Callithrix jacchus: one gene and its partners. The main gene of each other region encodes a partner of the protein of the gene in region 7 in a complex. Links are inferred from orthologs where the notes say so. Each region holds a gene or a part of one and is shown on either strand. Other genes may lie near its edges.

Region 1 (3,500 bases), on a different chromosome or scaffold from region 7:
GGCCTGCGCTGACCTTATCATAGGTGTTTTCTCCATGAACTTGTACACCCTCTACACTGTGATTGGCTACTGGCCTTTGGGACCTGTGGTGTGTGACCTTTGGCTAGCCCTGGACTATGTGGTCAGCAATGCCTCAGTTATGAATCTGCTCATCATCAGCTTTGACAGGTACTTCTGTGTCACAAAACCTCTGACCTACCCAGTCAAGCGGACCACAAAAATGGCAGGTATGATGATTGCAGCTGCCTGGGTCCTCTCTTTCATCCTCTGGGCTCCGGCCATTCTCTTCTGGCAGTTCATTGTAGGGGTGAGAACTGTGGAGGATGGGGAGTGCTACATTCAGTTTTTTTCCAATGCTGCTGTCACCTTTGGCACGGCCATTGCAGCCTTCTATTTGCCAGTGATCATCATGACTGTGCTATATTGGCACATATCCCGAGCCAGCAAGAGCAGGATAAAGAAGGACAAGAAGGAGCCTGTGGCCAACCAAGACCCTGTTTCTCCAAGTCTCGTACAAGGAAGGATAGTGAAGCCAAACAATAACAACATGCCCAGCCGTGACGATGGCCTGGAGCACAACAAAATCCAGAATGGCAAAGCCCCCAGAGATGCTGTGACGGAAAACTGTGTTCAGGGAGAGGAGAAAGAGAGCTCCAATGACTCCACCTCAGTCAGTGCTGTTGCCTCTAACATGAGAGATGATGAAATAACCCAGGATGAAAACACAGTTTCCACTTCCCTGAGCCATTCCAAAGATGAAAACTCTAAGCAAACCTGCATCAAAATTGGCACCAAGACCCAAAAAAGTGACTCATGTACCCCAACCAATACCACCGTGGAGGTAGTGGGGTCTTCAGGTCAGAACGGAGATGAAAAGCAGAACATTGTAGCCCGCAAGATTGTGAAGATGACTAAGCAGCCTGCAAAAAAGAAGCCTCCTCCTTCCCGGGAAAAGAAAGTCACCAGGACAATCTTGGCTATTCTGTTGGCTTTCATCATCACTTGGGCCCCGTACAATGTCATGGTGCTCATCAACACCTTTTGTGCACCTTGCATCCCCAACACTGTGTGGACAATTGGTTACTGGCTTTGTTACATCAATAGCACTATCAACCCCGCCTGCTATGCACTTTGTAATGCCACCTTCAAGAAGACCTTTAAACACCTTCTCATGTGTCATTATAAGAACATAGGCGCTACAAGGTAAAACATCTTTGAAAAAGAAAGAAGTGGGCAAGGGGAGCTTGAGAAGAATAAAAGGGATAAAAGAGCTCCTGGTTTTCAAATCTCTGACATTGCACTTTATACTCTGATTACAAAACGTGCAATTCAGGAGCCCAGCAGTGACATACTTATCACGCCTAGGCTCCAGTTTGCAAAAATTGCACCTTATAAACTGTGAGTATTAGGAGCAATGAGACAATGAAAGAAACATGTTGGGGTTGTGGATTTAAGGAACGATCTACTCTTTCTCATACTCTCTTGAAGAAGGGCTTCTGAATCTACAATTTTGACCGTCTCTGCACAAGAGGAATAACCTTGTTCCTTTTTTGTTTCTTTTGTTGTTGTTGTTCTCATGTGTCCTTAAGAGAAGGAAATGCCCCAGTTAAAAGGTAAACATGGAGATTTAAACACAAAGAAATAGGCACTATACAATAGGGAGGTAAAGAAAGAAAATCAAAGAAGGATGCAGAAATTGTCTCCGGAGTGTTAAGCCTATTTTATTCTTTTGTTACGGTTCTATTTAGAGGATTGCAATGTAATAAATGTTTATTTTTTGCCTTTCTTTTTCCCACCATGAAAAGAAAGCAAACAAACAAAAAACCAAACTAGGTCACACCACTTTGCTTCTTGTTATGCCATTATTTTGTACATCCCTGTTCTATACTGTTTATAGGCAAAACCTACAAGACTTTCACTAAGTCCAGCCAGAAACAGCCATGAAAATGGACATTTCACCCCTCCTCACTGTGTCCTTTGCATTCGTTGGGGGTATCGAGGCCTATAAGGATTTAGTACACTTATGATCTGATATGCAAAATGTTTAAACCAATCTGATTTTCTCCCAAATAGTCTTTTATTTCAACAGAATATCCTACCTAAAGCATAAACATGTTGAAGAACCCAAAGTCATTGTAAAATCGATGTTTCATCAAGTTAAATAATGGCCAATCTAGTTGGAAAAAGTTTATTAAAATCAGATGAATTTTAAGATTAAAAATTAGAAGTTTAGGACATTCTATTTCAACCTGAATCTGCCTGACCTGTGTATGAAATGTTAACTTATAGAAAATCAACTCCTGACTTGGTCAGCAGAAAGGGATACTGTTTTATTTCGTTGGAATCCTGAACAGCATTGATATACTCACTTAGCACCAATGATTTCTGGGTCAGTCCCTAGAGAATAGGACCCTCTATCCCATGCCTGCTAAAGGACGATATTCAAATTATAATCAAGTGAGCTCGTCTGCAATTTTCTATGACCCAGTAAAAGGGGGAAAAAAGAGATCTTAAATACAATTACATATTCCTTAAATTGTCAATTCTCCCTAACATTATTTAGCTTCAAAATTCTCTTATCAATAGAATTATAGTAATCTTTGTGACAGAAATGTAGTGGCTAACTAAATAGAGGCCAAACGAGCTCACAGAATCTGACAGAAGGATTGTAGGTGGCTGTTGCCATGCCACGTCTCACCATCTAATTCCAGACCATAACAATCATGTCAGTAACTATTATCTAAGTGGTAGCATTATATAGAATCTTGCCATGTGGAAACTTTTTATTTGGTAGTCCAAATAAATATAGGATTAGGATTATACTGATTCACATATAACTAGTTATTTTTATCCTTTATATTTTTCTTACACGATTTGCTGTAGTTTTCCAATGAGATTTTCTAAAAATGTCTCACTCGATAGGAATCAAATTATAAATGTATTTTCAAATTTCATATTTTGGATTTTAGATTTATGATATCTTGTCCAGTAGTATGAATGTTAGTTTCCTGATAAATTTGTCAATATTAGACCTAGCACTTATAAGAGTTATTTTGAATGATTGGCCTCATTGATGTCACTTCAACAATTTGGAGAATTAAGGGGGGAAAAGCACAAGGAAAAAAATGACAAAAAAAGTTGTCAGTTAGTAAGAAGCAAAATGATAGCAGTATTTATATTTGATTATCCTTCATAAAAACATTTTCCTATTTAAATAACTTCAATCATTAACCCCCAAAGTAATCTTCCATATTTAAACCGACAGCATCTGTTTATAGATTCTCTTACCTACAGTTACTTCAACATGAACTTTTAGATTTAAATTTGTATTTATGTTCACATTGTTTCTTCAAATGAGTGAATCAATTGAGTGGAAATAACATCAAGACAATGGGCTCCTCGACTTTCTGAAAGACAGAGAATTGTCTGGCCAAATATTTCCCTTTTTAATTTATTGTATTTTGGTAATGTAGATTCCGCTTCAGTTGGGAAGAACCCTT
Region 2 (4,019 bases), on a different chromosome or scaffold from region 7:
GGTAAAAATGATGATAAAAAATATGAACTTTTATATTTAGTCTAAAGGAGTGGGAAGGAACTTGAGATTAAAATTTGGGCTCCCAAATACAAAACAGGATTATACAGGAAGAAATAACCTTTGTATAGTTTCTTAAAGAACAGAATAGCAAAAATAAAAACATAAGAAACATTGGGTTCAGGTACCCGTGGTGTATTATTTTCTACCTCTAGAAAATAGTTGACCTATGTAGGCATTTGTCCCTTAAAAATAATCTTAAACGAAAACTTATCCAGAGAAGAACAGAGTATTATAAGACTGGAAAGGGAAAGAATCTTTCTTCTAAGGTTTTGGAAATGAAAACACCATCTAAATACAAGGAAATAGTTAATTGCTGATACATTACTAGCAGAATATTTTTATGTACATGTACAATGTTATGTTGTTCTCTGAAACAGTGTGTGATCTGAATATGCTTACTTTTACAATCATACTTCATTATAAAAATTGGACTAGGGAGAAGAAGGAGACACTATAGGCACAATGCCACTTGGCTACACTGAAATCTTTCCCAGGTAATTTCACCAGCTACTGAGCCTTTTTCCCAATTACCCACTGGTCTAACTGGAGAGAAGAGGAATTGTGAAGAGGGCAGAAGAGTCTGTTCTTCTAGTAGGATGCCTATTGGTAGATCACACTTGCTATGTCCCCTTTAACCTGCTAAATTTGCTCATTGTTGTTACTTGATTCATTGTGACAGTTACAGGCAAATTCCAGGTGTTGCTGCAAAACACTTCTAAGTAATACACTCATTTATTTCTGATTAAGAAGTCTGTTTGCTTATTATATTTCCATTTGATGGGTACAAATTTCAATCCATTATTTGTAATGAACTTATAGTGATACTTTTTATGTGGTTCCCTTTTAATACCAGATTAAATACTCTAGAGATTTAGGGAATTAGTGGGCAATCCTCCAAATGACCTCAAACTAAGTTAAATGACAGGAAACATATGGTGAAGGGTTTTGAAATTGAAGGTAAGGATTGGAAACCCCAAATTTTACACTGTACGAAAGCCCAGGGCCAAGGAGCAGCTTTAAGTATTTTAAATTATATGCTGACTAAACACACCCCTCCCGACAAACCTACTGACAGGTGTCTAGGGTCAAATGCCCGACTTAATCATATTAGTGAAGATTAGGAAGAAGCTTTAAAATCCCAAGGCTAGTGTGCATTGCTAGAATTGTTAAGAGAGAGAGCTCATGAGAAATTGGTTATTGTGGGATATTTAAAATAAAACAAAGAACAGTTTACTTTGTAAGTTAAGAGCTGAGTGAAGTGTTGGCTAAGACTGACTTGAAATAACTCCAGCAATTCATGCATAGGTACTAACCTTCTACATTTTCAGCAGGCAGAAAGATGCCAGTAATCAATATCGAGGACCTGACAGAGAAGGACAAATTGAAGATGGAAGTTGACCAGCTCAAGAAAGAAGTGACACTGGAAAGAATGCTAGTAAGTTACTGCTTTCTTTAGAATTTTATTTTAAGCTAGAGATACTTTGGGAATACCAGGTTAGAAAATATTGACTGAAAAGGCTCAATGTAGTTATAACTAAATTGTTCATATAAAAATTATCAAAGATTAAGAAAATTAATAATAAATCACAATCATCTCTTGATTTAGATTCTAAATCAAGGAGGTTGGCAAACAATTTTTTTTAATGGCTAAACCCAATCCATAGCTTTATTTTGTATGACCACTAAGATAGGAATGCTCTTATATTTTTAAGGAGTTGTTAAAAAAAAAAGGAGCAAGAAAGAAAAGAAAAAAGAAGAGAGAAAGAAAGTGGAGAACATGAGCCAGAACCATATTTCAGCTGAGCAGTAAAATGAATACACACATGCAATACATGCCGGCATTTTGTTTTTACTTTTCTAAACCTCTCTTAGTAGTGCAATATTTTGATATGGATATTTTGATAGAATGTTTTGATATTGTTGCAATACTTTAAGCTATGATTTCATCCCTTCCTGCACTGTTACAGTCAGTAATAAATGAGTACATTCTACTCTTCTTTGGCAAATTAAGATGAGTTCAAACATAAGAACTTACTGGTTTCTCCTAAAAACACCTAACAAATCTTGGAAAGGGTTACCTACAGTTCACTGCCAGTAGAAGGAGCAGAAATGGCAAAGGAATAAACCACTAAACAAACAGGGACAAATTATTGGAGAACGTGGATGTGCATTTTAGATCTCTTCATTTTAGGAAAGTTATTAATAGTAGAATAAAACCTCCACAAGTGGTAACAACATATCTTACATTTTAAAAACATCTCATTTTATCAGGACAAAGAAAAAAGGAGTTTGTGTTATCTTCATACTTTGTTCAAAATGCCTACTCCCACAAAACTGGTATTTTGGCTTCATCTATGTTTATAATAATCTCAAACTCTCCTGTTACTGTTTCCATACAGGCAAAACATGTTTTGCTGTAAAGATAAAATTAAATCAGTACTAAAGCTTAGAATGTACACCAAACAAATTAAAGTCCTTATTTTTACAATTCAGAGTAAATAAAATAAACTTTTGGGATAAAGAAAGTTTTCTTAAGTCAAAATATCCAAAAGCTGTTTTATTATCAGGATTGCTGTTTTGTAGGCAAAGTGATTGTCTTCATATTTATTATTCACTTGTGGTAAGTTCACCTTGGACTCTTTATTTTGGGTAAACATCACATACATCACCATTTATCAGGATTTGGGGTTCCTTTTTCCTAGTATTCAGTGTCTCTCTTTTCTTGGAAATCAAAACAATTTAATAGCAGACTGCAAAAGCTCCATATATACATGTACAAACACACATACATATATATATATACACACACACATATACATATACATGTACTCTCTTAGTCTGTTCAGGCTGCTGTACCAGAATACCATAGACTCGGTGTCTTATAACCAACAGAAATGTATTTCTCACAGTTCTGGAGGCTGGGGCATAAAAGATCAAGGCACCAGTAGATTCCGTGTCTAGCTAGGGCCTGATCCCTCCTTCATGAATACCTGTCTTTTCACTTTGTCTTCACCTGGTGAAAGGGGTGAGGAAGCTCTTTGGGGCTCTTTATAAGGACAGTAATCCTGTTTATGAGAGCTCTGTCTTCATCACCTGATCACCTACCAAAAACCTCACCTTGGGGGTTAGGAATTCAACAAATGAATTTTTGGAGGAAATAAATATTCAACCTGATACATATATATACACACACACATATATATATACATATACACACATATATACATATATACACACACATATATACATATATATACACATATATATGTATCAGGTTGAATATTTGTGTCCTCCCAAATAAATATTATATATATGTAGAAATATATGTAATATATAGAAATATTTATATAATATATAATAAATATACATATTCTATTTAAAAATGGAACTTCCAGGTCCTGATCACCTAGCTCTGATGTACAATTGGTACAGTATGGTTAAGTGGATATACTCAGTATGGGTAAGTGGTTAAGTGGATAATCAGTACAGTATGGTTAGTTGGATATACTCTGAAACCATATTCCCAGCTAGATTCTTGCTCCACAACAACTATCTGCCTGTGTAACCTTTATCTATGTTTTATAATTTACCTGTACCTCTGTTTCTTCAAACCAGCAGTAGTAATAGCATCTAATTCAGAGGATAATTGGGAGGAATAAACAAGATAATATATGCAAAGCTCTGATAACAATGCCTAGTAATAGCAAGTGCATTATATCATTATATTATTATTATCTTAGAATTATTATTATTGATTCTGTGAATGAGACTGATTCATATTATACTTCAATTTTTTTTAGTAAGACAAGTCTTTGCATCCAGTTTCTAAAGCTGACAGATTTGCAATGCCTATAAGTCAATGTAATAGGCAATGACTTGAGACAATCTTTGCAGTAATAGCTAAAAATAGCTACCGTTTGATTGTGCATCTTTTTGTGCCAGGCACCTGTTAGGCATTT
Region 3 (4,203 bases), on a different chromosome or scaffold from region 7:
TGCGGTGAGCCGAGATCACAACATTGCACTCCAGCCTGGGTAACAAGAGCGAAACTCCGTCTCAAAAAAAAAACAAAAAAAAAAACTGGGGCTGAGAAAAATCTGCAACCGCCTGTCCCTCCCTTCACCTCTTTCCAGCAAGAGGCAGCGGGGACTGGGGAGCTGAGGAAACCGAGATAAAGGCTGTAAATTCCTTTTCCCTGAAGCAGACCAGCCTGGGCGACAGGATAAAGGTCGTTATTACAGACGGCCCCGGGCCTCTGGAGTTGCGTTTTCTCCAGTGCTAGGAGATGGAACTCTCTGGAACCCTTCTCCAGCTCCACGGAGAGGCTCAGCCTATCAGAGCATCTGATTGGTTGTAGGCTGCAGGCACAAGTTAAAAATAATCAGCTAACGTTTTGACAACGCTTTCTTTTTTTCTATCTCACAGAGATTGGAAGTCATGTTCTTATCCTCTTTAGGAAGTATGTTGGATTTAGGGTTATTAATTCCCATGTAAAGTCAGGACAATTGAGATAACCCTATCAGCTAACATTTATTGGGTGCGCTATACCTGCTAGTAATAATCGTAGCTAACATTTACTGAGTGATCATTTTTCTTAATAAAAAATAGCAACATTTATCGAGTGCCACATATTTTCCAAGTTCTGCCTTGGATCTGGCCTCTAATTTCTTGTTACAGCCTTGAGGGGGAGGAACCATTAACCCCATTTCGAGGATGAGGAATTCAAAACAGAGAGATTAAGTAATTTCCTAAGAGCACAGCTAGTGAATGTTGGAGAAAGTATGAAGAGGTAAATATTACCTAAATCCCATAGCAAATATAGCTGTGATTGTAATTATAGGGTGTGTGTCTCTCTGTGTGTACACGTGTATTTGGAATAGAGCGGATAAACTTTGGTCTTGGGTAAACCGAGGCACGGCTGTGGCAAAGGGGCTGACTCTTTTCTATCCCATTGAGAACATCCTTCTGGTGCTGGGGTGGAGGGATCCGTGGTACGTGATAATTGTGTAGCTTACCTTGTAATTGATTGCATAGCTTTCACTGACGTCCGAGAAGATTAAAGAGAAAAATGTGGTCAGCGCTTAATATGGAGGGCACAGTGGGTGTGCTGGTTTTTCTTTTCCATCCATTCATCCATCAACTTTATTCTTTTTTTGGGCAAACAGGACTTAGCTGTAAACAGAGTTTATGGTCTGTTTTGCATTTTGTATTTATTAATATTAATGCTGACTGTGAAGTGCCAGAAGAACCAGTAATACACACGCACCATGTCTGCGTGGTTTGCTTCTGAGCCTGAGATCCTGAAAATATTTCAATTGTTCTTAACAGGCTAGAGTTAGGACCCAGGAAGGACACAGCAGTGGGGTTATAAATAGAGAAGGAGAACAGAACAAAGTTTGAGGAGAGAGACTTACATCACTCACTCCCTCTCCATTCAGGGAGCAGGACGGAGGTGTGAACTTGAGCCAGACCAGAAGGAGCTCGGGAGCTCGAGAGCGGGTGCAGGACAAGCCCGAGGAGCAGGCGGGAGCTCCAGGGGAAAATCGCGCACAAAGCCTTCTTCAGAGGAAAGGGCAGCTCCAAACCTGACCCGGACAAACAGAAGCTCTTGAAATTAAAAGAAAATATCACAGGACAAACAGCCTCCCGTCCACGGGTGGAGGTCGTGGGCACAGTGGTGACCTGAGATCGCTTTCCCGGGACTGCGAGTTGGACTCTCTTTTCTCCTCCCTGCATTCCACAGCTGCTCTGCTCATTGCAGCGTGTTTATCGATCACTGAAGAATCGCAAGTTTTGGGACAAGGAGGAAACACCTATTAGGTCTCCAAGACAGCTGTGTTTCACAACCTTTAAGGAAATAGAACTTTTTCTCCCCCTGGAACCTGTGAAAATGTCCCTTTTCCAAGGAAGTGAAGGTTAAGAGGTCCCGTTCTCACAGACCCTCAGGAATTTCGCTCGGCTCCGAGCTCTGACTTCCGAAAACGCCATGGCCAAGCTGTTGTGGCTGTGCTGCTGGTACCCCCGGCTGCTGCTGTTTTACTACAGTCTTCAGGTAGCGTCCCTAAGTGGCCGGGAGGGAGGTGGGCTCGATTTTTCCAGGCGCTTTCCCTGAGCGTGTCTCACACCGTGGTCTTTTGTGTGCAGGTGCATGGTGTCTATGCCAGATCTCAGGACCATCCAGGTAAGAGTGTTTCCTTCTCACTCTGCACTGTGCTCTCCCCCTGCCTGGTGCGGGTATCCTGGGAACAGCCTACTTGTTAATCTCTGAGGCATCAGCGGATGGCCCTTGTTGGGCTCCTGGTCCCCGACCTCACTGCCCTGCCACAAGCTCTGACCCTGGGCAGCTCTGTTACCCCTCACCGGCTGAGTGGTGGACAGAGAAGCAACTTTGTGGCCCCTTAGCGGGGTCATATGAAACCTTGTGGTTAAGGAAGTGTGATCTCTTTGCTTAAATGCCTTCTGTCTCCTTCTTAAAGAAATGGAGTCTTGCTCTATTGCCCAGGCTGCAGTGCAGTGGCTGCAACCTCCACCTCCCGGTTCAAGCAATTCTCCTGCCTCAGCCTCCCAAGTAGCTGGGATCACAGGTGTACACCACCACGCTCAGCTAATTTTGGTATTGTTAGTAGAGACAGGGTTTTACCATGTTGGCCAGGCTGGTCTTGAACTCCTGATTTCAGGTGATCCGCTTGCCTTGGCCTCCCAGAGTGCTGGGATGATAGGCGGGAGCCACTGTGCCATTGCATGTCTTTGGGGCAGAGTCACTGTAGGGGCCTGGAGCTCTGGCTCATAGCAGGGTCCCGAGACCTCCAGCCTCAGAGTGCTGGGCGACTTAGGCTGGAGCAGCCCACGAGTGGGGCTCAGGACAGAGGGCCACCCTTGCTCCTGCCCCGGAGCCAGCTTCCTTTGGCCATTGTGATGCCCAATCAGGTAGCATCAGGATGGGGCTTCTCCTGGGAAGACGGAGGCACACGCCCTTTGCTGTCAAGAGTGTGGGCGCATGTTCCGGTCAGCCAGGGCAGGAGTGGGAGACGAGGCTTTCTGGGCACGACAGGGTCAAGCTGGGCTGTTGCTCCCTGCTGGCAGGGGTGGGAGATGAGGCTTTCTGGGCACAACAGGGTCAAGCTGGGCTGTTGCTCCCTGCTGGAAGCTGCAGGAGGTGGGAGGAGACCCTGCTGGTGCCTGAACCCCTGTGGGGAAGCCTGCTGTGAGCACAGCCTCTGCCCCCGCCCAGCTCCATGCACTATCGCATGGCCCTGCCCCTTTTGATGGGGAACAGCCTTTTTTAAAACTTATTTTTATTATTATTATTATTTTTCTTTTTTTGAGACAAAGTCTCACTCTGTCGCACAGGCTGGAGTTCAGTGGTGCGATCTCAGTCCCAGCTCACTCCTACCTCCACCTCCCAGGTTCCAGCAATTCTCATGCCTCAGCCTCCCAAGCCGCTGGGATTACAGGCCCATGCCACCACGCCCAGCTGATTTTTGTATGTTTAGTAGACACAGGGTTTTGCCATGTTGGCCAGGCTGGTCTCAAACTCCTGACTTTGGGTGATCCACCCATCTCGGCCTCCCAAAGTGTTGGGATTACAGATGTGAGCCACTGCGCCTGGCCGGGAACTAGCCTTTAATAACCACAAATGGACTCAGGCCAGCACTGTGGGAAGATCCCAGGGTGCTGGCCAGGCCTCCAGGGAGAGCCCCCTTTCTGGGTGGAGCACCAGGAGCCTGCTGGGGTCTGGGGATAGGTGTTGTGCCCTCAGCCTCTGCCTCCTTTCCGGCTGCCTGATGGCCCAAGCCAGGATGTTCCAGGCGTTGTCACCACCTCCATTCACCAGCTCGGGGATGGGGATGCTGCCACTTCTCTTTCGTCCACACACATAGGGAGCCCCTTTTAAAAGGGTATGGAAACTGTGAGAAAGAAAGAAACAAGGGCTCCTGTGGCTTGGGAATGAGTAAGCATGCCCAGTGCTGTGTTAAAGAGAGGACATGTCCGCCATGGGCGCCTCGCTTTTCATGAATGCAGGCCTCCTGGCTTGAGAGGAGGGGAGAGGCGGCCCCTCTAACTGCAGGGTGGTCAGGCAGAGCTGCGTACACTGGTCCTGCAGGAGGCAGGTGGCCCCCATGGCCTCAGCATGGCTCTCACTGATGCTCAGTGTTGCAGAAAAGCTATATGGGCACTCCCTGGACTTCTGCTTATGA
Region 4 (4,127 bases), on a different chromosome or scaffold from region 7:
ATAAGACCCTGATCCACTATGTTGCCCAAGTGGGTCTCAAACTCCCAGGCTTAAGCGGTCCTGCTACCTCAGCCTCCCAAATTGCTGGGATTACAGGCAGGAGCCCTTGTACCCGGCCAAGGAAATATTTTGATGATAGGAGAGCTCTGCAGGTTTCTGAGCAGGAGGGTAACATGTTTTAAGCCCCTGTGGCAGAGAGACGACTGGGAGTCGGAATCACCCTGAATCCTTTCTAAGTCCAGACTCTATTCATCCCTCGAAACAGGCTCCTGTCAGTGCTCTCACTTCCTTTGCCCACACCACCTCTTTATCGTAAGATGTTTCTGTGGTTTCAGATGCATCACTTCCCCCCTTTAGTGCTGAATCTGGCTCTCTCTTTCATTTTATTTATTTATTTTTAAAATTTGTTTGTTTGTTTGTTTGTTTGTTTATTTATTGAGACTGGGTCTTGCTATGTTGCCCAGGCTGGAGTGCAGTGGCTATTCACAGGTGCAATCCCACTACTGATCAGCACAGGAGTTCTGACCTGCTCCATTTCCGGCCGGGGCCAGTTCACCCCTCCTTAGGCAACCTGGTGGTCCCTCACTCCCGGGAGGTTACCATAGTCATGCCGAACTTAGTGCGGATACCCAATCGGCATAGCGCACTACAGCCAAGAACTCCTGGGCTCAAGCGGTCCTCCCACCTCAGCCTCCTGAGCTCTCTCCCATTTTTGCCCTCCCTGTGCTTGCAGAAGTGTTACAAAAATTGTGGACACTCACTTAAGAGTTTTATCATCTTTATTTTCCATCTGCTAGACCAGGTTGCTTTCCCTTGTAAGAGGCAGTGCCAATTTCTGGTTGCTGGGTACCAACCCATGTCCTGGCCCATGTGGGGTACCATGGAGGAAGGAGATAAGACCCAGACCTCTGGCAGCTCCTAGTTTAGATGGGGAGACAAGATAACATGTGAAATCAAACAGAGCACACTGAAAAGGCAACAGGTCAGACCAATGCAGGGAAACTATCATTAAAGGTCTAAGCCCCGAGGCCTCCCTGCTCGTTTCCAGGCTCAGACCTTTCTGAGTCTTTTTTAACCTTGTTTAGTATTCTCTTCTATCTCTTTCCTGTTGGTTTATCTCCAGCATCAACTGCTACAGCGGTGTCTAGGTGTTGCTTTGAAGCTTGTATCAAGATGGTTATAGGACTCCCTGCTTTAGCCTGGCCACCCCCAACTACCAGCCACATCACAGGGACTGGACTCAAGTTAGCCACGCTGCTTTCCCAGCCTGAAAATCCTTTTTTTTTTTTTTTTTTTTTTGAGATGGAGTCTCGCTTAGTCACCAGGCTGGAGTGCAGTGGCACAATTTCCATTTACTGCAACCTCCGCCTCCTGGGTTCAAGCAGTTCTCCTTCCTCAGCCTCCCAAGTAGCTGGGATTGCATGCGCCACCATGCCCAGCTAATTTTTTGTATTTGTAGTAAAGATAGGGTTTTTCCCCATGTTGGCCAGGATGGTCTCAATCTCCTGACCTCCTGATCTGCCTGCCTCGGCCTCCCAAAGTGCTGGGATTACAGGCATGAGTCACCGTGCCCAGCCAGTGCTTCTACACCTAACTATTTCTTCTTGCATCTCTGAGCTATGCTCCTTTGAGTAGGAAAATTCTGTCAGGAAGGGATACCAAGCTAGTGAAAGGCTTTTGTTCAAAGTCCCAGTCCCAGACTGGGTCTGAGGATTTCTGAATCTGGACAGGAATCCTCCTGCTCCCCCTCTCCCAGCCTTTCCAGCTCCTGTGTAACCCAGGCCACCTTCTTCAGAGGTGTGAAGTCCACTACTCCGTAGTGAAGTCTGAACTCGGCATTCCCTCTCCCTGACTCACACCCCTGTCCCCATTTGTCCCTTCTGCTGTGTCTTTGCTTCTGCGTCCCAACAGGGAGGAGCCGTGATTCCGCAGCACCTGCAGCCCTCTACCAAATGCCCTGCGCACCACGGAAGAAGAGAAATAGAAGAGCAGAGGGTCCAGACTGGCGTTGAGTGAACTGAATACCACGGCAATTGTCCGCCACCAGGGGCTTTTCTTCTGGTAATACCCCACCAAGTGGGACACGTTGTAAGGTCCAAAGCACACCAGGAAATTGAGCAGCGTCACCACAGCCAGCCCCACGGCCCGGTGCCGCCTCTGGGCCCCCACATGGGGCTGGGAGAGCATGATCCGCACGAAACGCCAGTAGCAGAAGATGGTGACCACCATGGGGATGAAGAAGAGGACCAGGCACAGCTCCAGCCGCACGGGCAGCACTACCTTCAGCTGTTCGTCGGTGAAGTTCTCATAGCAGGTAATTTCATTGCCACTTTTGGCCTGCTCGGTTGTGTTCAAATACTGAACAACGATCACGATGGTGCAGTGACCAAAGGACATAATCCAGGCCACGAGGGCTGCAATCACTCCATACAGAGGCCGGCGGGACAGCTTGTACTGCACGGGGAAAGCCACTCCCAGATAGCGCTCGATGCTGATGCCCGCCAGCAGCCACGTGCTGCAGTAGATGCTGCTGTAAAAGCCAAAACCCACGAGAGCGCAGATGATCTCGGGCAGGTACCAGCGAAAGTTCGAGGCAGCCTCGATGATCTTGAAGGGCAGCAGCAGCAGCAGGAGGAGGTCGGCCAGCGTCAGGCTGAGCAAGAGGATGTGCACAGGTGCAGGCTGGGGCTGGCGGACCCGTCCCATGAAGGCCCGCAGGGCCAGGAGGTTGGCAGGGAAGCCAGTGAGGAAGATGATGATGTAAGCCGTGAGGGTCAAGGAGCTCTCCCAGTCCAGCATCCTGGAGGGGAATCAAAAAGGGCGGGGTCAAGGGGTCTCACTCACAGCCTGCTCTCTTTCAGGATGCAGACATCGTCCCCAGCACTGTCCCCTTCCCCGGACAGTGCTTTCTGATGCCACCACGGCTTGCTCACACCACCTGCTTGAACTGCCCAGAGCAATTGTTGACTTTGCCTGGGCGGGATATTAAGCAGTAGTGATTACGTTTGCCATCATGTGTCTCTGGGGGAGACCAACCTGTGGCTTCCCAAGGGAATTTCCCCTCCAGTTTCCCTAGCTTTTCTCCTCCTATCCTCACAGATACAGGAAGTTAGTGTTACCAGTTTCTAACTTTACTCAAGTCCCTTTCTCAGACAGAGACCTGCAGGAGAGAAAGGCATCAGTGTGGGCAGAGAGCTGTAAGATGCATGTCAGGATAACGAGGCTGTGGGGCCCCAGGCCTCGATGCCCAGTGCCAGCTCTCCACAGGACCCAGGTGCCCAGCTGCCAGCCCAGCTTCCTCCTTCCCTTCCTCTGTTTCGCAGAGCATAGATTCTCCCCCACCTTGTCCTCTGCTGCCCAACACCAAACTCTGGGACTCTCTAGAAAAGGGGAAGCTGGGGCCTGCCGCAGTGGCAGGCCTATAATCCCAGCACATTGGGAGGCTGAGGTGGGCAGATCACCTGAGTTCAGGAGTTCGAGACCAGCCTGGCCAATGTGGTGAAACCCCATCCCTACTACAAATAAAAAATGAAAAATTACCTGGGCAAGGTGGTGGGCACCTATAAACCTAGCTACTCAGGAGGCTGAGGCAGGAGAATCGCTTGAAACCAGGAGATGGAGGTTGCAGTGAATCAAGATCGTGTCATTGCACTCCAGCCTGGGTGACAAGAGGAAAAACTCCATCTAAAAAAAAAAAAGAGAGAGAGAGAGAAAAGAGAAAAGGGGAAGCTGGGAGGATTAGAGTGGGGTGGAGGGAGGAAGGCTTGTCCCCAGAAGACCTTGGAGAACAACATTCAGAAAAGCCCACAGGCCTTCACTGGCTCCTGAGCCTCGCACTCTGATCAGAAACAGAGCTCATCCTCTTCATGGGGTAACTCAGTTTCCACTTGGGGTGTCACACTTGCTAGCCCCCAACCCTGGTCCCATCCCTCCATCCACTCTCTAGCCTCGGTTTCCTGGCCGTTTCCTTGCCCCGCCCCACCCCCAACTGGCTCCTTTTCTCTCTGTTTGAGCCTTCCATTTGATTCTGACAGCCTTCCTTCAGACCCCCAGCACCATCCCCTCAAATCTCATCCTGGCCTCTCTTCCAAGAGCACAGGCATGACACTAGCTGCCTTGCCTTGTCT
Region 5 (4,031 bases), on a different chromosome or scaffold from region 7:
AAGACCTGTCAAATATTACTATCAGGCTTATGCTTAAGTAGGTTTTTATTTTGGCATCATGGCTGCATCTGGGACTGGCCAGACAGCTGCTGCTGCTTCGGATTTAAAATGTAATTCATTGCATTCTGATTATGGGTGCCCATTTATCTGTAATAAGAAAATGTGTATAAAATGAGTAAAAACGAAAGTTGGATCACATGTTTTTGCTCAGGTGCATACCTTTTGGAATGCTTTCAAACACCAACATTTGTTTATTGTCTCAGAGATCCCTGGAGGAAAAGATACTAAAATTACACATTTTCATAGCATTCTATTAGCTGAAAATTGTCAACATTTATGACATTACCAGGAAAACCACAATCTAATCCCAGTTTGCATTGTTTTAAGTAGGCAGAAACAAGATTGTATATTCTAAGATACAAAGGCTTATTTGTGCCATGAAACTTCCTGTAATATTCATGCCTGAATAGAAGAAGGTACATTTTCTTTTTTGTCTTTTATTTATATTCTTGTATACTGCTCAGCAAAATCGAAGCAAGAAACAGCGTCTCAAAACTATAGGGTAGTGTCAAATACAGGAACGATGTAATTTCTCTGTGCTATTTCTGTAGTATTCAGAATAGGAGATACTTTATTTTTCTCTTGAAAAGTGATTTTAAAGTTTCTTGGCCAATATTCAGTGAATCATGAGAGACAAAATTAATGAATAGCCTTCTAGCTAGAACTTCTTGTACAGCTGAATTATGTTTCTCAGTTGCCATACGCCATACACTTAAAGGAAGTTAACATGCTTCCTTTCTTTAATATTGCTCTTTGTTCTTTGGGAAAATGCCGTAAGAAAATAGGAAGTACCCCTCTAGCAGTGTGTTTCAGTCTAATTACTGACACTGACACCCTGTTCTGTTACTACCCCTTCTCCTTGCTAGCAGCCTGAATTCTGCTTATCTACTAAAAGAGGGATTCCAAACAGACGAGGAAACAGCTTTCAAATGATATACTATAGGCGTACCAAGCTATTCCCACACTGCGCAGTCTGGAAATCAGGGGGCACCTCTTTGACGATGAATTCCAATTAGTTGCTAAAGATGCCAGTGTGTGTGCGTGTACAGGCGTTTTCTTTCCCCTCCCCCTTTCTTCCTTTTTCCAAGCCCCCTCTTCTCCCTGTTTCCCCTCCTACTCCTTTATCCCCTCCCTCTGTGTCTCAGTTCTGCAGTAGGCAGGGTTGAAGCACATTCCTGCTCTGCAAGGCTTTCTGTTAAGGATGTATTGTGGCTTTTGTTTGGATTGCAGCATGCAGAATTACAGGTAACATTCTGAAATTGAACTAAACAGTAAATTCTGTTGAAATGTTTTCAAAGAGGCAAAATATTATATTGGAATCAGTGAAGAAAATAAATTATCTTGGCTAATTTTATTAGTGATAAGTGTAGTGAAAGATTTTCATAAATGTTGCTAGCAAATTTCTTTTCTCTCCCATGTCTCAAATGAAAGGAAATGGGGGTAAATCAATCTAACCGTGATTCATTTTGTTTTATGCTGATCTTGAAAGCTTGATGTTGCTGCTGCTACTCTATACCGTACGGATCAGTTATATGGGGTGCTATTGTGGGTAGCCATGAATAGTGGTGCCGGTAGGGGTGGAGTGGGAGGGATGATGCCAGCCTGAGCTAGCCAGGTTCTTTGATTAGGGCATTGGATGTGAAATGTAAAATGCTCTCTCCTTTTCTTCTATCAGCTGTTCAGAGGAGACTCATTACAACTCCTGCTGAAGCTCCTAATCTTCTTCCCTTCTCTTCTGCCCTTTCCCCCTACCCTCACTTGGCCTGAAGACGTTGTCCCCAGAGTTTGCCTTACTCCCCTGGTGCTATGTGTATGATGAACTTGGCATTATGGCCGCGTTTGGAACTGGCCAGACAACTGCTGCTGGCTCTCCTTATTCCAAGAAGGATTTAAAGGGGAATTGCACTGCAGGCAATGCACCACAGCAGCAGCATCAGGAGCTTGGGGACTAAGGCTCCTCTGGCATTATTACATACATGCAAAGCTGACCGCAATGACAGCGGCTGCTCCTTTGAACTGTTGGAAGCAGCCAAGCGGCAGCATGAAGTGACAGATCACTCCAGAGCTCAAGATGAACTCCACCTTGGATGGTAATCAGAGCAGCCACCTTTTTTGCCTCTTGGCATTTGGCTATTTGGAAACTGTCAATTTTTGCCTTTTGGAAGTATTGATTATTGTCTTTCTAACTGTATTGATTATTTCTGGCAACATCATTGTGATTTTTGTATTTCACTGTGCACCTTTGTTGAACCATCACACCACAAGTTATTTTATCCAGACTATGGCATATGCTGACCTTTTTGTTGGGATGAGCTGCCTGGTCCCTTCTTTATCACTCCTCCATCACCCCCTTCCAGTAGAGGAGTCCTTGACTTGCCAGATATTTGGTTTCGTAGTATCAGTTCTGAAGAGCGTCTCCATGACTTCTCTGGCTTGTATCAGCATTGATAGATACATTGCCATTACTAAACCTTTAACCTATAATACCCTGGTTACACCCTGGAGACTACGCCTGTGTATATTCCTGATTTGGCTGTACTCGACCCTGGTCTTCCTGCCTTCCTTTTTCCACTGGGGCAAACCTGGATATCATGGAGATGTGTTTCAGTGGTGTGCAGAGTCCTGGCACACCGACTCCTACTTCACCCTGTTCATCGTGATGATGTTATATGCCCCAGCAGCCCTTATTGTCTGCTTCACCTATTTCAACATCTTCCGCATCTGCCAACAGCACACAGAGGAAATCAGCAAAAGGCAAGCCCGCTTCAGCAGCCAGAGTGGGGAGACTGGGGAAGTGCAGGCCTGTCCTGATAAGCGCTATGCCATGGTCCTATTCCGAATCACTAGTGTATTTTACATCCTCTGGTTGCCATATATCATCTACTTCTTGTTGGAAAGCTCCACTGGCCACAGCAATCGCTTCGCATCCTTCTTGACCACCTGGCTTGCTATTAGTAACAGTTTCTGCAACTGTGTCATTTATAGTCTCTCCAACAGTGTATTCCAAAGAGGACTAAAGCGCCTCTCAGGGGCCATGTGTACTTCTTGTGCAAGTCAGACCACAGCCAACGACCCTTACACGGTTAGAAGCAAAGGCCCTCTTAATGGATGTCATGTCTGAAGTGGCTCAGATACGGAGTTCCCCTGTGTATGTATGTGTTTTATCTCTAAGTATTTCTAATTCACTAGAAAATCTGGGACAGAATACTTTGACTCTAAGCAATAGCATACAAATGGTTTGTATGGATACCTTCTAAGTTTGTAGAAATGGTTTTCAAAAGTGCTTTTGAAGACTCAAGATCATGAAGACAAATTGCTCTTGGTTCCAATTTTTGAAATGTTTTGGAAATGACTACAGTTCTCAGATTTAAAATGAATAAAGCCATATCTAACACCTCTCTCCAGCTGGCATGACTGAACCTGGGTGTGAAAAGCATCAGCATTTTAAAAAGTCATCATTTTCTTGTCACTTTCTGGGTTCTTTCCAGCTATTTGGGCTTCATGTGCAATTGATTTCTTCTAACAGGGAGTAGTAAAACATAAATTAAGAAGTTTTAGAAATTACTTTTTATGTATACTAAAGTATAACTACACTGCAAGTTTCAACACTGTCATTTAGAAAGCCAAATGTTCTATATTTTATTCTCTTGAGAGAATTCTCAGTAGGGTGAATAATGTGAACATATAAACATTAATTTTAGAATTCTACAGTGAACCATGAAGCAAAAGTACAATCAACTTATACAGTTTATGAAAAACTGAGCTATTTTTTGTGCCATGCTTCACAGAGATCTAAAAATAAGTGTGCATAGAAGTGATCATGTTTGTAGTATTTTTGCCCATGCCTTTGTGTTATGTCTATATTTAGAATATCTGAATTGTTAGATTTCTCTTTTATAGCAAAATGTGTTTAAATAAGCTAAAAAGCAATTGATAGGCTGTTGGCTGTCGATTTTATACTGGTGACTATA
Region 6 (4,057 bases), on a different chromosome or scaffold from region 7:
AAGATCCTGGGTGCTAGTCTGCACACTGGTTATGAGATTTGAGCTCTATGTGCTCAGGGCTGGGAAAAGGGTCCTGTCACTTGGAAAGCAGAGAGGGAGTTGAGAGAGGGGCATGTTGAAATATGAATGCTGCCTTGAGACACTTGGCTTTCCCCACTCTGGGTGGACTCTCAGCAGGGTGGTTTTTCCCTGCCAGGTTTCCCCACAGTGAAACCTCTGTGCCCTCCACAGCTGGGAGAGGTTTTACCCCACATGTGGAACAATCATGAAGGAGCATCTGGAAGGGATTGGGTACAGGGAAGGGAGCTGCCAAGCATGCTGGCCAGGGACCTGGGTCTACGAGCCGGTTGGGGGGTGAGGTTGGGTGCAGGGTCCTTGATCCTGAGTGTGCCTCCTGGGCCAGGATTGGTTCTGGAGTAGGAGGGGTGGGACGGGGGATGGGGGAAGCCTGTAACTGGAATGCAGTTGTCAGGTTCCAGGTTCTGGGCGACCTACTAAGGATTCTGGGTCCCGTGTGGGCCCCAGGTTGGATGTCCTAGTCCTGAGTCCGTGTCCACAGTTCTGGGTGTTGGGTCTAGGACAGTGGTCTGGAGTTGGTAGTCCAAGTCTAGGTCTGAAGCCTGACCCCAAGTCTAGGTTCAGGGTCATGGTAGTGGCCTGGAGTCAGAATCAAGGTTGGGGTCAGTAACCAGGATGGGACCGAGGTCATGGTCCAAAATCTGGATCTGGGACCTGTTGGGAATCTGGAGTGAGTGTCACAGTCTGAGTATGGCGTTGGAGACCCAGGGCTGTGACATGAGGTCATGGTCGGAGTCTGAGGTGGTGGGCCAAGTTTGAGTCTGGAGTCTGGTGTTAGGTCGTGACTGCGTCCAAGGCCAGGGAGTACGGGGTTAAAGCCAGGGTCTGAGATGGAAGCCCTGGGATCGTGTTCCAAGGTCTGAATCTGTGTCTCGGTGAGCGTCCAGGGTCCTTGTGATCCACATCTGGTGTCAGGGCCACGGCCTGATTGGGGAGCCTGGAATCCAGAGATGTGACCCGAGGTTATGGTCAGGGAGTGGGTCTGGGGTCGTCTTCGGTGCCGGGTCCCTGTCGTGTTCCAGGCCCGGGTCGCCGCCCAGCATCCAGGGCCGCGGTCAAGGCCAGGGGCTGAGCCCGCGGTCTCAGGTCTGGTTCGGGGTCAGGCTCCGCGCGGCCTCCAGGGGGCGCCGCCGCCCGCCCGGCTCGGGCCCTAGCGGGCTCGCTGGCGCTGTGCGCGGCAGGCGGGGCCGGAGGCGGCAGCGGCTCCGGGGCGCGGGCGCGCGGGCGGCGGTGGCGGCGGCGCCCCGACTGCAGTCCCGGCGGGAGCGGAGCGCAAGCCGGGGCCGGGCCCGAGCCGGCGCCATGGGGCGGCGCCGCCTGTGAGCGGCGGCGAGTGGAGCCGCGGGCGCCGAGTGGGGCCAGGAGGGAGGCGGCGGCGCCCGAGGCCGAGCGAGCCGCGGCCGGGCCGGGCCGAGCGCCGAGCGAGCGGGAGCGGCGGCGGCGGCGGCGGCGGCGGCGGCGGCGGGAGGAGGCAGCGCCGCCGCCAAGATGGCGGACCTGGAGGCGGTGCTGGCCGACGTGAGCTACCTGATGGCCATGGAGAAGAGCAAGGCCACACCGGCCGCGCGCGCCAGCAAGAAGATCCTGCTGCCCGAGCCCAGGTGAGGAGAAGCCGCCCACGGCCCCAGCCGGACCCCACGGGCGCCCCGGACGCGGCCCCAGACCAGGGACCCCGCGCTCGACCCCGCGACCCGGACTCCCGAGGCCGGTCCTCGAGACCCCCTGTCGGCCTCCCAGCCCGGAGCAGCGTGGCCTTGGCGCCTGCGGATCCAGACCGTAAGCCCCAGACCCTGGCGCCTGAGCCTAGAGCGCCCCGACTCCTGAGCTCTTCTGCCCCATCGGCCCCCGGATCCCCTCGGATACCCCAGGCCGCCCTGCTGCCTCCTTATCGCGCTCCGTCGGCCCCCCGCCCCGCCGGTCGCTGTCAGCCTCTCGCTCCCGCCTTCTCCCACAGGGACCCGGTGCACCCCTTCATCCTCCTAGCAGCCCTTGGTCCCTGTGGGGTCCTCTCCCCTCCGCCGGCCACCATTTACCTCGCCTGACCATGTCATCCACCCTTTTGCTGTCCCTGTTCCCGGGCACCCGCCTTGGGGTTTCTACTACCCCCACCCGTCTCTCCTATCTACACTTATGTGAGGTGTGGGGGGACAGCCAGTCTTCCGGACTCTTCTCCCACCCTCTGGTGGGGTCGCTGTCCTGGAGTTGGGCTTGAGAGTGCTTTCAGGGCGGCGTGGTGTGCAGGACCTGGGGTGCTGCGGGCACCCACCCCCTCAGACTGCGCTCAGGTGGGGGAAACATCCCCTGTGCCCTCTCCCCCACATTCCTTCTCTGGCGGGCCCTGCATATGGTGCCCTGTGGGTGCTGTTAACCAGGGACCCTCCCAGCACACCTGCAACAGCTGGACCTTAGCTGCCACCTCTCTGTAAGTCAACTGACATCACACCTGGTATCAAAGTTTAGACTGTTCAGGATGTAGTTGCAAAAGTACACAGGATGTGGACGATTGCTGCGGTTTGTCCAGCATTTTATGGCTGATAGAGTCTCCACTGTGTGAGCCTCTCAGCAGCTCATGGGGTAGGGAGGACAGGTGTGGCTTTTGTCCCTGTGGAACAGGTGGGGAAACTGAAGATCCAGAGGTGAGTAGCCTGTCCAGAGTCACACAGGTAGTCCCAGGTAGCATCTGGCCAACAGATCAGGGCTTCAGACTTCCGGTTCTACATTTCATTGGCTCCTCTGGCCTGTGCCAGGGAGCAGATGTGCCCGCCACGATTCCTTGTGTCGTGTGGCAACTCCTTGTGCATGCTTGACAGTTAGCCTCCTGGTGCCCACTGGGGCCTGTCCACACTGCTGTGGTCTTATCGTGTGACTCTGGGTCTTATCTTATGACCTACCCTTCCCGCACTGGGCCTTGGTCTTCTCATCTGTGAAATGTGGATGGCGTGAAATAAGAGCTGTGACTCTGCGGTGTCCCTCGGCCTTTGAAGCAGCCATCTCAGCCCCAGCTGACACTGCAGGGCTGCCATGCCTATGGCCTTCACTGGCCCCCTCTGCCATGCCCTGCTCACCGGTGTTCAGATTGCCTGAACATCAAGCCTGAGAGAGGAAAATTGGTCTGCATTTTGAAAAGGCCGTTAGGGCCTTTATTTTTTTCTAAGACATTTACAATCAGATTTCTCAAAACAGGAACCAGACTGACTGTCAGCTGGGGGCTGTCCAGGGAGCAGTGACAGTTAGTACAGAAACGAGTTCAGAAATGACAGCGCCACGAGGGAGGAAACGGGGGAGTCAGCCTCTAGGGCTCGAAACGGCTCTCCTTGGTGGCCGCAGCCTCGAGATCCCCCTGCAGGATGGAGTTCTGCAACGTGTGAGGCGGGGCCTTTTCTGGAACTGTCTGCCTTCGGGTGATCTCTCCCCAGAATGCATTGCTTCAGATGGGGCGCCGCCTTGGCTTGGCTCTGCAGGTGTTGGAACCCTGAGAAATGAGATGTTCTTTCCCTGTCCCCTTGCCTGTCCATGGTAGTGATGACGGTGATAGCAATAATGATAGGAATTATTACTGACTTGCTTATTTTGACATCTGTCATCTCAATTCAGCCAACAACCAACCTGTGAAGCTGGCAAGGTGATGCCTGGCATGTGGTAGTTGCTCAAGAAATACCAGGACTGTGTGATGCCCCATGCAGTCCTGAACAGAAACAAGATCAGTTGGGATTCTAGGAGGACAGCAGGAGGCCGAGCCGGGCAGCCTAGATTTCACATTGGGTCACCATCAGCAGCATGGCTTTCGGCATATTGCCCACATCCACTAGTTCCAAATGTCAGTATGCTGAGGCCTGGGAAGGGCTGCGGGCTGCCCTGCCTGGGGCTCCAGGGCTGGGGCATTGGAGGCAGGCCACCCTTTTCGTAATGCCTTGCATACCCAGGGGTTGCAGAGGCTCCCCCACCCGGGAAGGTGATCCTGCCGTGTCTCACGTTTGCC
Region 7 (3,500 bases):
TACAGGCGCCTACCACCACACCTGGCTAATTCTTGTATTTTATTACAGACCATGTTGGCCAGGCTGGTCTCGAACTCCTAACCTCAGGTGATCTGCCTGCCTCAGCTTCCCAAAGTGCTGGGATTATAGTCGTGAGCCACCGGGCCTGGACTGTTTTGTTTTCTTTTGAGACGGAGTCTCGCTCTGTTGCCAGGCTAGACTACAGTGGCGTGATCTCGGCTCACTGCAACCTCTGTGATTCTCCTGCCTCAGCCTCTCTAGTAGCCAGGACTATAGGCATATGCGCCACAGTGTTTTGCCATGTTGGCCAGGCTGGTCTCAAACACCTGACCTCAGGTGATTTGCCTGCCTCGGCCTTCCAAAGTTCTGGGATTACAGGCGTGAGTGACTGTGCCCGGCCTAATAGTGCAGTCTTGATGAGTTGGCAGTGCTACTGTTAAGTCCCCACCTAATCGTAAGTTGTGACTTTAGTAGAATTGTGGATTTTGTGGATTGAATTTGCATTCCCATGTGCAGCACTGGACTTCTCATTAATTTTTGCTTCACCTAAGTGACCACACATGGGAATTACTCTCTAGATAATTTTGGCTCTTATTTTGTTCTGTTACCTCCTATGCAATGAAAGTTGAAGATGAGAATATCCTAGAATCAGTGTTACTGTTTTTGAACATAGAAGTTTTTGTATCATCTCTGTTTCTGTCATTAGGTCCACGCCATCCCTCTGCGCTCCTCCTGGGTCATGACCTGTGCATATGCCCCTTCTGGGAACTATGTGGCCTGTGGTGGCCTGGATAACATTTGCTCCATTTACAATCTGAAAACTCGTGAAGGGAACGTGCGTGTGAGTCGTGAGCTGGCAGGACACACAGGTACCCATCCTTATTCATAACCTTCAAGTGACACTTGCTGTTTACCTGGTGTACATTATATGCTTTGGATACTCAGCTTTTATCAATTAGGGATTTTTAATTTTTTGGGGAGGGGACAGAGTCTTGGTGTGTCATCAGGCTGGAGTGGAGTGGCATGATCTCAGCTCACTGCAGTCTCCAACTCCTGGGTTCAAGCAATTCTCCTGCCTCAGCCTCCCAAGTAGCTGGGACTACAGGCACCCACCACCACACCTGGCTAATGTTTATATTTTTAGTGAAGATGGGATTTCACTATGTTGGCTAGGCTGGTCTTGAACTCCTGACCTTGTGGTCCGCTCACCTTGGCTTCCCAAAGTGTTGGGATTACAGGCGTGAGCCATGGCACCCAGCCTTATTAATCATTAGTAATGAGACTGGTTCAAATAAAAGTTATAGTAATGACCAGAAGTTTTCTGAAAATGAAACTGAAAACAGGCCTGATACGCCTTTACCAGTAAGAAACCTGTGGATTTGTGCTGGGCATGGTGGCTCATGCCTGTAATTGTAACACCCTGGGAGGCCAAGGTAGGAGGATAGGTTGGAGCCAGAAGTTTGAGACTAACTGGGGCAACAAAGCTAGACCCCATCTCTACAAAAAATAAAAAACTTAGCCAGGCGCAGTGGTGCACGCCTATGGTCCCAGCTCCTCTGGAGGATCGCCTGAGCCTGGGTGGTTGAAGCTGCAGGGAGGTATGATTGCACAACTGCACTCTAGCCTGGGCGAGAGTGAGACCCTGTTTCTGCAAATGAGGCAGATTAGAGCTCTTTGGCCATAAGTGCTGGGTAGTCCGTTATCTCACCAAGGTTTTGTTTGCTTGTGACACTAATTCATCACAGAGGGCATACAATTGCAGAAAGAGGGCATCCTATTCTAATATTTTACCTCTCTGGCTGTATTATCTGTTCTCAGAAATTTTATGCCCCAGTACCTTTTGGTAACACTTCACCAGGCTCACTCACTTCACTTGGAACCAAAGAAATACATTCACGGAGTCACTAGTACTGCTTTTGACACCCATTAAGCAGTCTGTTAAATAAGTTAATATTGGCCAGATCACAGTTTTCCTTGTCCTTTGGAAGATACACTGCCTGTTTTTGTTGATTTCTGTTCTGTGTTCTTTCCTGCCTTCTGCTTGCTTTGGAGTTGCTTTCTTAATTTTCCAGCTGCTTAAAGTAGATCTGTAGGCCACTGGTTTTAGACCCTTTTTCCTTTTCAAATATAGTAACTTTAAAAGTTTTAAATTTCCCTCTAAGCATGGCTTTAGCTGCATCACACACATTTTTTTAATGTCTTTTTTTTTTTTTTTAAATAAGATGGAGTCTCCCTCTGTCACCCAGGCTGGAGTGGTATGATCTCGGCTCACTGAAACCTTTGTCCACTGGGTTCAAGTGATTCTCCTGCCTCAGACTCCCGAGGAGCTGATATTACAGACGTGCGCCACCACTTCCGGCCAATTTTTGTATTTTTAGTAGAGACTGGGTTTTGCCATGTTGGTCAGGCTAGTCTTGAACTCTTGACCTCAAGTGATCCACCTGCCTTGGTATCCCAAAGTGCAGGGATTATAGGTGTGAGCCACCACACCTGGCCTGACCTTTATTCTTGAAGGGTATTTTTGCTGGATATATAGAGTTATGGGTTAAAAAAATAATAATTATAGGTTGACTTTTTTTAAATTTATATATTTTTAGCAATCTAAAGATTTGGTTTTTAGCAGTTTTGCACATGATGTGCCTCGGTGTGATTTTTCTTTGCCTTTATTGTGTTTTGGCATCTTTAATTTATCAGTTTGTCTTTCACCAAATTTGGGAAGTTTTAGACCATGTCTTCAAATGCATCCTCTGTCTTTAGTCCCCGTCCCTCTGCACTGCAATACACACACATCTGTGCTGTGCCTGCAGTCCAGGGGCTGGGCTTGTTCATCACTTTCCACTTCTTCAGATTTGTTCCTTTGTTGTTGTTAGCCCCGCTTACTTGCTTTTAACCTTTTTATTTCCACTCAAGCTCATGTACTTGTTATCTCTGATAAACTAAATAAGGCTATGCAGCAGAATATTTATGTCAGGCATTGCTTCTGCAGTTCTAGAATTTCTATTGTTTTTATTCTATTGCTTTTATTTAAAAATTCTTTTTATTTTCCTGCTGAGACTCCCTGTCCTTGTATAATAGCATGTTTTATTTTGTATCCAAAAGGAGAGTCCTATCACTGCCTTTAGAGTTCTTGTCTGCTGATCCCAGCCTCTCATCTCATCTTCCTGAGGCTGGTCCTTGTGGATCTCTTCTCTGGAGTCTGAGTGACATTTTGCTATTATTTAGTACATGTAGTAATTTCATATTGTATTCTGGACATTGTAAATGTTGTGTCATAGAGACTTTGGGTCTGATTACAATTCTCCAGAAATAACTATTTAGTTTTGTGTATCAGGCAGCCTGTATCTTTCTTGTGTGGCAGCAACAGAAACCGGGTTCAGCTTTTCTGCCCTAGTTGGGCTGCATGCCTGTGCACTTCAGGTGTCAGGTGTCAGCCATGTATGTGGTTTGGGGCTCCCTTTCTGTGGCTTTCTTCTTTCTAGTTTTTATCCTCTTACTTTCTG

Evidence for each region.
Region 1: the proteins of GNB1 (region 7) and CHRM2 are in contact, whole or in part, in a cryo-EM structure (PDB 7T96), measured with the Homo sapiens proteins. The link is inferred for Callithrix jacchus from reciprocal best matches to the Homo sapiens genes GNB1 and CHRM2. Residues at the interface, in NP_001269468.1 of Homo sapiens: His54, Leu55, Asp312, Asp333, Ser334, Phe335; in NP_000730.1 of Homo sapiens: Val50, Asn51, Arg52, His453.
Region 2: the proteins of GNB1 (region 7) and GNGT1 are in contact, whole or in part, in a cryo-EM structure (PDB 7L0P), measured with the Homo sapiens proteins. The link is inferred for Callithrix jacchus from reciprocal best matches to the Homo sapiens genes GNB1 and GNGT1. Residues at the interface, in NP_001269468.1 of Homo sapiens: Leu30, Ile33, Thr34, Ile37, Val40, Ile43, Met45, Arg48, Arg49, Trp63, Ser84, Tyr85, Thr86, Phe235, Pro236, Asn237, Asp254, Arg256, Ala257, Gln259, Leu261, Ser279, Lys280, Ser281, Gly282, Arg283, Leu284, Leu300, Asp323, Gly324; in NP_001316355.1 of Homo sapiens: Met31, Val33, Lys35, Cys36, Cys37, Glu39, Val40, Arg41, Tyr43, Val44, Arg47, Ser48, Asp51, Pro52, Leu53, Val54, Ile57, Asn62, Pro63, Phe64, Lys65, Glu66, Leu67.
Region 3: the proteins of GNB1 (region 7) and ADGRD1 are in contact, whole or in part, in a cryo-EM structure (PDB 7EPT), measured with the Homo sapiens proteins. The link is inferred for Callithrix jacchus from reciprocal best matches to the Homo sapiens genes GNB1 and ADGRD1. Residues at the interface, in NP_001269468.1 of Homo sapiens: Arg52, Asp291, Val307, Ala309, Gly310, His311, Asp312, Asp333, Phe335; in NP_942122.2 of Homo sapiens: Ser593, Val594, Ser595, Arg598, His819, Lys822, Val823, Leu826.
Region 4: the proteins of GNB1 (region 7) and FFAR2 are in contact, whole or in part, in a cryo-EM structure (PDB 9CM7), measured with the Homo sapiens proteins. The link is inferred for Callithrix jacchus from reciprocal best matches to the Homo sapiens genes GNB1 and FFAR2. Residues at the interface, in NP_001269468.1 of Homo sapiens: Arg52, His54, Leu55, Asp312, Ser334, Phe335; in NP_001357016.1 of Homo sapiens: Arg37, Gln38, Pro39, Gln40.
Region 5: the proteins of GNB1 (region 7) and GPR21 are in contact, whole or in part, in a cryo-EM structure (PDB 8HJ1), measured with the Homo sapiens proteins. The link is inferred for Callithrix jacchus from reciprocal best matches to the Homo sapiens genes GNB1 and GPR21. Residues at the interface, in NP_001269468.1 of Homo sapiens: Gln44, Arg46, Thr50, Arg52, Ala309, Gly310, His311, Asp312, Asp333, Phe335, Lys337; in NP_005285.1 of Homo sapiens: Pro57, Leu58, His61, Arg313, Arg317, Thr324.
Region 6: the proteins of GNB1 (region 7) and GRK2 are in contact, whole or in part, in a crystal structure (PDB 5UKL), measured with the Homo sapiens proteins. The link is inferred for Callithrix jacchus from reciprocal best matches to the Homo sapiens genes GNB1 and GRK2. Residues at the interface, in NP_001269468.1 of Homo sapiens: Leu55, Ala56, Lys57, Tyr59, Ala60, Gln75, Asp76, Gly77, Lys78, Pro94, Leu95, Arg96, Ser97, Ser98, Trp99, Val100, Met101, Leu117, Tyr145, Ser147, Asp186, Met188, Cys204, Asp228, Asn230, Asp246, Ile270, Cys271, Asp290, Phe292; in NP_001610.2 of Homo sapiens: Tyr553, Gly556, Lys557, Asp558, Phe584, Pro585, Asn586, Arg587, Glu589, Pro597, Gln598, Leu600, Thr602, Glu604, Ala654, Leu657, Val658, Val661, Pro662, Lys663, Met664, Lys665, Asn666, Lys667, Arg669, Pro671.

Annotation. Positions count from the first base shown.
Region 1 is NC_133512.1:110,275,304-110,278,803, reverse strand, and holds part of CHRM2 (muscarinic acetylcholine receptor M2), read left to right. Parts: coding exon 1-1,207; 3' UTR 1,208-3,500. UniProt on the Homo sapiens protein: The muscarinic acetylcholine receptor mediates various cellular responses, including inhibition of adenylate cyclase, breakdown of phosphoinositides and modulation of potassium channels through the action of G proteins.
Region 2 is NC_133512.1:55,719,082-55,723,100, reverse strand, and holds the start of GNGT1 (guanine nucleotide-binding protein G(T) subunit gamma-T1), read left to right. Parts: upstream 1-1,219; 5' UTR 1,220-1,297; intron 1,298-1,388; exon of another isoform or gene 1,389-1,391; 5' UTR 1,392-1,399; coding exon 1,400-1,495; intron 1,496-4,019. UniProt on the Homo sapiens protein: Guanine nucleotide-binding proteins (G proteins) are involved as a modulator or transducer in various transmembrane signaling systems.
Region 3 is NC_133510.1:134,171,724-134,175,926, forward strand, and holds the start of ADGRD1 (adhesion G-protein coupled receptor D1), read left to right. Parts: upstream 1-1,403; 5' UTR 1,404-1,991; coding exon 1,992-2,057; intron 2,058-2,149; coding exon 2,150-2,186; intron 2,187-4,203. UniProt on the Homo sapiens protein: Adhesion G-protein coupled receptor (aGPCR) for androgen hormone 5alpha-dihydrotestosterone (5alpha-DHT), also named 17beta-hydroxy-5alpha-androstan-3-one, the most potent hormone among androgens. Also activated by methenolone drug.
Region 4 is NC_133523.1:31,675,739-31,679,865, reverse strand, and holds FFAR2 (free fatty acid receptor 2), read right to left. Parts: upstream 2,801-4,127; 5' UTR 2,800-2,800; coding exon 1,810-2,799; 3' UTR 433-1,809; downstream 1-432. UniProt on the Homo sapiens protein: G protein-coupled receptor that is activated by a major product of dietary fiber digestion, the short chain fatty acids (SCFAs), and that plays a role in the regulation of whole-body energy homeostasis and in intestinal immunity.
Region 5 is NC_133502.1:171,660,013-171,664,043, forward strand, and holds the start of GPR21 (putative G-protein coupled receptor 21), read left to right. Parts: upstream 1-1,231; 5' UTR 1,232-1,305; intron 1,306-1,735; exon of another isoform or gene 1,736-1,829; 5' UTR 1,830-2,131; coding exon 2,132-3,181; 3' UTR 3,182-4,031. UniProt on the Homo sapiens protein: Orphan receptor.
Region 6 is NC_133511.1:124,351,234-124,355,290, forward strand, and holds the start of GRK2 (beta-adrenergic receptor kinase 1), read left to right. Parts: upstream 1-1,257; 5' UTR 1,258-1,566; coding exon 1,567-1,679; intron 1,680-1,730; exon of another isoform or gene 1,731-1,854; intron 1,855-4,057. UniProt on the Homo sapiens protein: Specifically phosphorylates the agonist-occupied form of the beta-adrenergic and closely related receptors, probably inducing a desensitization of them. Key regulator of LPAR1 signaling.
Region 7 is NC_133508.1:39,872,569-39,876,068, reverse strand, and holds part of GNB1 (guanine nucleotide-binding protein G(I)/G(S)/G(T) subunit beta-1), read left to right. Parts: intron 1-706; coding exon 707-869; intron 870-3,500. UniProt on the Homo sapiens protein: Guanine nucleotide-binding proteins (G proteins) are involved as a modulator or transducer in various transmembrane signaling systems.